Linked DNA regions of Coturnix japonica. The protein of the gene in region 2 purifies or fractionates together with the protein of the main gene of each other region. This does not show direct contact. Links are inferred from orthologs where the notes say so. Each region holds a gene or a part of one and is shown on either strand. Other genes may lie near its edges.

What was found.
Region 1: the proteins of ANAPC2 (region 2) and ANAPC13 purify together in Homo sapiens (affinity purification with mass spectrometry; 3 studies listed by BioGRID and IntAct, counting the BioPlex papers as one, with this or other methods). This does not show direct contact. The link is inferred for Coturnix japonica from reciprocal best matches to the Homo sapiens genes ANAPC2 and ANAPC13.

What each region holds. Positions count from the first base shown.
Region 1 is NC_029524.1:2,642,940-2,646,454, forward strand, and holds ANAPC13 (anaphase-promoting complex subunit 13), read right to left. Parts: upstream 1,931-3,515; 5' UTR 1,820-1,930; coding exon 1,721-1,819; intron 789-1,720; coding exon 663-788; 3' UTR 551-662; downstream 1-550. Other genes in the region: CEP63 (centrosomal protein of 63 kDa), read left to right, coding at 2,209-2,252. UniProt on the Homo sapiens protein: Component of the anaphase promoting complex/cyclosome (APC/C), a cell cycle-regulated E3 ubiquitin ligase that controls progression through mitosis and the G1 phase of the cell cycle.
Region 2 is NC_029532.1:1,027,377-1,031,487, reverse strand, and holds the start of ANAPC2 (anaphase-promoting complex subunit 2), read right to left. Parts: upstream 2,918-4,111; 5' UTR 2,897-2,917; coding exon 2,816-2,896; intron 2,077-2,815; coding exon 1,454-2,076; intron 1,136-1,453; coding exon 1,003-1,135; intron 1-1,002. Other genes in the region: SSNA1 (Sjoegren syndrome nuclear autoantigen 1), read left to right, coding at 2,944-2,995, 3,075-3,274. UniProt on the Homo sapiens protein: Together with the RING-H2 protein ANAPC11, constitutes the catalytic component of the anaphase promoting complex/cyclosome (APC/C), a cell cycle-regulated E3 ubiquitin ligase that controls progression through mitosis and the G1 phase of the cell cycle.

The sequences.
Region 1 (3,515 bases), on a different chromosome or scaffold from region 2:
TGCTGGGTACACAAAGCCACCACGCAGCTTCTAGTGTTTTCTTTGCAGGGAGAGGGAACATGGGGAGGATCAGAAATACCTCATTAAGCCCAAGCTCTGTTTTGCCCCCTGCTGAGATACAGCGAGGAGCTGAACTATTACAGTTCCCAGCAGCGTAGCTGTTTCTAAGGTCTATACTGTACATATGAAGCTTGGGTTAATCCTGAGCAGCCTGCTGGCTGCATGCAGCTCCTTCTTGTTCAGATGAGCTCACTGCTGGCTCAGAGCAGGCACTGCTGACTCCTCAGGCAGGGGCTGCCCCAGCCACTCAAACCAAGCATCCTCCTACTCAGCGCCCATGTCCTCACAGAACATCCAACGTGCTCAGCCAATAGGGATTTTGAGTAACCATCATTTGAGCACAAATCGCACCATTTAAACAACGTGTAAATATACAGTGGTCAGCACTGGCAGCGAACTCTAACACAAAACACAGTTATACCTCTTGGGACATAAACCTCCACGGTCACAAACATCCCATCCCCAGTTTTGACATATAAGAACAACTCCAGATGGTGAAAAAACACATTTTTTATCATGTGTAGAAAACACTTAAGAACAGAATTGGCACCAAGTAAAGAATAAGTTAACAGAGAATTTGTCGTGAAATGCCCCCGGATTCATCAGTTTCCTGTGGGAGGGACGTTTTCATGGAGATACTGCAGAGATAAATCCGTCCACTTCATTTCTTGCTCTTTCACAGACTCAGTTGTGCCTCCATTGTCTTGCTCTGGTTCAGGGAGCTCATTCTGAGAACGACAAGAAGAAAAAAGGTACAATGCATTCAGTGCATAACAAGCTGCCTAAAAAGGAGCTGGTGACGAAGACTTCCTATGAATAAATACAAAAAAATCCACAAATGAGACTGGAGGGGGCATCTGAACAATACATATCATACATCCAGATTCAGTTAAAATATTACTGAGCCCAGGGAGGAACAATGTGCTTTTCATATGATTATGATGCTTCATCTGAAAGGTAAATTGGCTTTCCAGGGCCCCGGGGCCTTGCTATGTACTCAGACTGCACACGCAGTGAAGGAGAATATAGAGAAAATGCAAAATAAGTAAATAATAACACGGTGCAATTATTCCATTGCTTGTTTAGATTGTGGTTCTTTGTTGCTGCCCAGAATACAGATACTGCATTTACCGTAGCTCTATTAAGACAGCTGGCTTTGTAACATATCGCTTTCTTATGGCAAGGTGAGAAATCCTTCCTCTTGCTGCATGTGGAGCTCTGCTGTGGCTGTGCTGTAACAACAGGAGATACAACACCAAGCTGCTCAGCATGCAGGGGGGAGGAAGGAGAGTTTAAATGCGATTTCATTTGACTTCCTCGTGTTATTTGCTCCCCGTGTTGCTGCATTGGTTATTATTGGTTTTGGAGGAGGGCAGCTGCTTCCTGCCTCCTCTGCTGAGAAGGAGCTGCTCTTCTTCCAAGAGTGATGCCACACTGTGCTGTAAGGGCTGAATGATGTCACTGCAATTTGGCAATGTCTCTTTGCAGGCATTATCAGATGCCGTGATTTTGGCCGGCTTACACCTGTGCGAACAGGGAAGGGGAGGATCCTCACCCAGAGGGTGGTGACGCACTGAACATGTTGCCCAAGGAGGCAGTGGATGCCTCATCCCTGCAGGCATTCAAGGCCGGGCTGGATGTGGCTCTGTGCTCCACCTACCAGCGGGATGGCCACGTCCTCGTACGGCAGCTTGTCCTCCCTCCACGCGTCATCGATCAGGTCCAGGATGCGGCCGTCCCGCTGCACCTCGCTGTCCATCCTCACCCTCCGAGGTAGCTCCGTACCAGCCCCGTCCCGCGGGGACTCGAGCGGCCCCAACGCGCTCGGTTCTGCCGGCAGCGCTCCGCCCCATCCCGCAGCGATGTTCCGGCGCCCGCTGTACCGTCATCACCCGCCGCCGCCTCCGTTCCTTCCCCTCCCCGGCCGGCAGCGCCCTGCGGGTGGGCTCGGTGCGGTCGGTGCGGTCCGCTCACTGTGCGGTACCTTCTTGTTCCGTACAACCAACCATTTCTCTGCCCCGTCACTTCGTGTCTCTGCCCTTCCTGCTGCCCCTCTATTTCCCCCACCTTTCCCCTCCCGCTGCCCGTGGATGCGGTGGCCGCTGCTTTGCGTGGTTTCCCCCCTGCTGACCCCGCCGGCGCTGGGTGATGGAGGCTCTGCTGGCAGGCATGCAGAGGAATGGCCAGGGGAGGTATGTATGTACGTATGTATGTATGCACCGCTGTGTGCCCGGCCTTTACAACAGCCTCACCGCGGGGCTTCCCTCTTAACGCTCCTTGCCACTCTTCTGCCAAGCTCCCATGGTGTCAATGAGACCCTCGGTACCTTCTGCAGGCGGATGGATGCAGCGCACAGCGACGTGGCTGCTTCGGCACTTTGCAGCGGTCCCTCAGCGCCTTGCAGTCTGTATTTTGCCTCTCTAAGAACGTTATCCCTTTGTTTTCCCCTTTAAAAAGCCCCCTCCTGCCTTGCAGTGCGGTGCTAAGTAGAAGAGTGAGTAAATCCTTTTCTTAAGAGCCCGGTGAGGTTAATGAGACATGCTGAGAGCACCTGATTACTTCCTGCTTGTGCTGGAGCTGCAGACACCCTGAGGAACCCTTAGGTGAAGGCTTGTGGGCTTGGAGATGGAATAACAAGGCTTCATTTATCAAACAAACACAAAACTAAAGGCACTGACACCATTTCCATTGCCGTCTTTGAGGAGGTGACTCAGTGCTGTATCTTTTGCAGTTAACTGGTTGTATAAATGCAGTCTAGACATAGCTGTGTATCAGCAGATGCTGAGCAGGAGGTGTTCTTGCTGTGCATAATAGCTGCTAATTTTTGGGTAACTCGCAGGCCGGGGTGAACATCCAATTTAACTGCTTTTGGCTGCTCTGAGAGCTACTTCTTTCCCTATAGAAGATCTGTCAGCTTGTGAAGGCTGGGTATGTATGCTCTGGGGGAGCAGGGAAATTTCAATCCCTTCACCTATTGATTTCCGTTCCTTTTCAGAGCCTTCCATTTGACAGTCAAATTAAATGGGTGAAGATGATCATGGAGTTCACAGCCCTCCAGGGCTGTATCTTGCAAGCCTTCATACCGTCCTTAGCTTAGCACTTGTGAAGTTTTACAGGGCTTGGTTGAATTGGCTTCAATAATTACTGCACAAATTAGAAGCTGCGGCATCGCCAGGGAGCGTGCTTTCCCCAATGGGTTGGGGATGTTTTATTCTTCATTATCATGTTGTCATCCAACCAACGTAGGGGTTTGTCTGCATTTGTGATATGCTTTTGTTTTCGGGAGCTGAGAGGTTTCTCTGGTGACTGAAAGGGGGTATAAAAGAGCATTAAGGGGAAATGCAAAGTATGGGCAGAATAAGTTGTGGTTTATTTAGGTAATGCGTAGTACCAAGATAAAGGGACCAGTGGTCATAGGGGCTTGCTGTGACATTAGAAAACAAAACACACTGCAT
Region 2 (4,111 bases):
GGGAGCAAAGTGCCAACTGCAACATCCAGATATTCAGAATAATTGGGTTTACTTCCTGCTTAAGGTGGCAAATGTGTAACACCACCTGAGGCAGCACCTGAGTATTAAGAGTTATGAGGCGGCGTTATGTTTTGATAACCAGCTTTAGGTGTGGTGTGCTGCTGTTAATGCTCAGCTGTTTGACCATGGACTGGAGGAGTGCATGAGTTCTGCCCATAGAACCACAAGGCAGAAGAATGTGCTGCAGCACAGAGCACCCAAGCACCAGACCTGTACTGGGAAAGCTGAAAAGCAAAAGGGAAGTGTGATCGTTGATGCAAAGCACCTGGATGGTGAGGAGCACCTTTACCCAGCCATTCTCCCCAGGAGTTTGTCTCTGAGTGCCCCTTTACAGCAGGGCCAGAGAAGAAAGTGTTGCACAGCAACTGTAGGGAAGCCAACACCAAATCACCGCCTGTGTTTGCAGACAACACAAATGCCCAGCACGGCACACAGCGAGGAAACCAGGACAACAGCACGGAGCTGCCTGGTTCGCATGGCAACCTGACCTCACACTTTGTTCGTCAGTGCAGACCAACGTAAGGCCATGCATCAAGGAACAAAGAGCACAGAGTGAGTGTGCAGAGCACAGCCCGTGTCCCAGAGCACAGCCCGTGCCCCAGAGCAGCCGTAACCTTGAGAAGAGCTTTAAGGTCATACACAGCAAAGAGCTCGACACAAACTCAGTGCAAGGCAGCAGCGAGAGAACTGAGGAGGCGTGAGGAAGGACACTGGGCAAGACTCTCCCTGGAGTCTTCTCTACTCCAAGCTGAACAAGCCCAGTTCCCTCAACTGAGAGAGCAGACCCTCTAACATTAATCTCAAATGTAAAGTTTTAACCACTCCTCTTCTACCAGGGCTGGTGGAAGTCACAGTCCAGGACTGGGGAATTGAGGCAGAGTTGGGAATTTAGCAGCAGGAACAGGAGCAGCTCCACATCTCCATAGCCAGGGCCTCCCTTACCTCCTGGAACTCGTTCAGGAAGGAGTGCTCATAATCACCCCGGCAGCGTCGCTCCATCCTCTCCTTGATCATCCTGTGCAGGATGGTGGTCACAGCATCAGCACTCACCCTCTCCAGCAAATTGAGCTGGCGGCTGCAGACACAGAACCTCGAGTGAGTGAGCAGAAGCAAAAGCATGAAGAGAAAACTGAGCTAACAGAGCACACCTGCTGCCATGTGCTGTGCAGGTGCTCTTAATTTAAGCACTCTGATTGCAGGCAGCAATAACACATCACACAGCTGCCATCCTATCTTCAGAAACACTGTCATAGGGTTATAGAATCACAGAATCATTTGAGTTGGAAGGGACCTTAAAGGCCATTAGGTCCCACTCCCTGCAGTGCACAGGGACACCCACAGCTCCATCAGTGCTCAGAGCCCCAACACCTGCCCTTGGCTGTGCCATACGTACAGGATGTCATTGAGCTGCCGGAACCGCTCCATGGCCGTGGGGCACCAGCACTGCTCCCTCCTGCTGCCGCAGCCCGCACACACCGCGCTCTCCCCTCCGCTCTCCTCCGTGTCACTCTCCTGCTCGGCCTCACTCATGCTGCTCTCACACTCATTCATTCCCTCTTCTCCCTTCTTCCACTGCCGCATGTATATCCGGAAGGTGCGGCTGTAGAACTGCTGGATCATCTCCTGGAAGGGTTTGGTGGTGGAGAAGAACAGGATGGCTTTGAACATGGTGTACACCTTCTCCCGCAGCGTCTGAGCTCCCGTCCCCAGGAGCAGCCCGGCCTTGGTGCATCCCTCCAGGAGCTCCATGCTGCTCAGGTAGGGCTCCAGGCGGCACTTGAGGAGACAAAACGCATCCAGGAGGAGCACTGAGCACTGCTGCTCCTCCGCCGTGTTCTCATATTGACCGACGCAGTTCCAGAACTCGGGGGCGATGTGTGCCTGCAGGTCGGTCTGCAGCACCTCGAGGAACCACTCCTCCACCGCAGCGTGCAGCCCGTAACAGCGCAGCACCTCCAGGGCGGCCCGCAGCTCCGCATCCTGCAGTGGGCGAACCGGGTCACAGCGCCCCGCTGCCTGGGGAGCAGAGGGGATGAAAGGTTGAGCACGGAGCACACAGCCAGACCTTTATGCCCCCATCCCTGGGCACGGTGCGGGGCTGGCAGCCCATGGCAGGGGGGGGTGGGCTGTAAGGATTCTCCCAACCCGACCATTCTGACTCTAGGCAGACACGTACCAGGGGGGACCCTCGACGTGTGGGCTGTGCCCATCCCACAGACCCAAAGCTACTGGATTAAAATCAGTTCTGTTGCTTGTATATGTTAACTACATTACATATTTAACGAGGGCTGCTCTGAAAGTGATGCCTCCTATTTTATTGTACTGGCCCACAGTGTCAGAGGGGGATGTGGGTAGGACGGCAGCCGAGGCTGAACCTCCCACCAATACACTACTGCTATGTGACGTACGGCAGCAAGGGGCAGTCTGACATGGAAGCGAATGGAGCACACGTCTCTCGTTCATCACAGTGCCGGCCAATTTGCTCTATTTACGCTCCCATCTCTTTGTATCTATCGCAGCTCCTACAGAACACAACAGGAGGCATCACTTTCGGAGCGGACCAGCACCACCTCTATGCCCTCGGACAAGCCGCATCCCGCACACGGCAGCGATGTGCCGGGGGGGGCTCAGCCCAACCACCCGCACAACGGCCACCGTTACCCCCATTACCCGCTGCTGGGGCCGCACCGTGACCCACACCCCCCCATCCCGTCCCGTCTATCCCCCCATCCCTTTGCCCCCTCTCCCCGCTCACCAGCCCCAGCGCTGCGGGCGGTACCAGGGCGGCACTGAGTGCGCTCCACGCCGCCGACAGCCCCGCACCCGCCGCCTCCATGTCCCGCAGGAAGGGGCGGAGCGCGGAGCCGCCGTTGGGGCCGCACGATGAGCGGAACCGGGGAAACGCTGCAGGGCTACAACGCTGCGCTGCTGGAGGGTGGGTGAGCGGGGACGGGAGGGGGGCAGCGAGCAGCCGGTGCTCACACGGTGATGGTGGTGGTGGTGGGTCCGAGCAGGGCTGGCCGAGCTCCGAGCACGGCGGGATGAGCTGAGCGAGAGGATCCGGGAGGAGGAGGCGGAGAGAGAACGGCTGCAGAGCCGCATCGCGGCGCTCACAGAGCGCTTGGCCCGAAGCTCCGAGCGAACGGCGCGGAACCTGGCTGCAAAACGGCAGCTGGAAAACAGCATCGCTGAGAGCGAGGCGGCTTATGGCAAGGTACGGCCATAGGGAACCCCATACACCAGGGGGAGACAGAGCGGGGAGGAGTTGGTGCAGACATTTGAGGTCAGGAATGGAGCTCTGAGCACTGATGGAGCTCAGGGTGTCCATGAGCACTGCAGGGAGTGGGACCTGATGGCCTTTAAGGCCCCTTCCAGTTCAAACGATCCCACGGTTCTGTGCCTGCTCCATTCAGCTGAGCTCAGCTCTTCATTCAAGCCCCACTCAGCACTTGAAGAAATAAAAGTTTCTCCAGGTGGTCGCCTACATTTTCCTTTCTCACATGTGTCTTTTGAAGTGCTGTAAGCACGGCATCCTCCTCACCCAGCCGGACCTGCACTAAACATGGGAAGTGCTGGGGGTTGGGAGGCAACCAGCTGCCACAATTCACTCATTAGTAATAAATATAAGTATATAAATAAATATTTGTGGAATATTTATCATCCAGCACTAAAAGAGAAGTTGGTTCAGCTGCCATACCCTGTGTAAACCCTGATGGACCCTCTGCATCTCCCACATTAGCTGCTAATGACTGTAAAGAGTCAAGACTTCCATCAGCACACACCCCAATGCAGCACACGAGGGGCACAGCCCAGCTGCCGCACTCAGCCAACACACCTCATAGGGCTGTGATGACACACAGGGATGTCAGACCCACCAGGACACTGTTTGGAAGGGAAGGTGATGTGAGGAAGCACTCCAGGACCCAAAGGTTGGGGAGAACTTGTGTGAGAATGGAACAGCTTGGAAGCGGTGTTGTAAAGTTACACCACAAACAGCACAGGTTGGAAAAGAAACCTTCCCTGAGATACAAACCACGACCCCCTGTCCTAC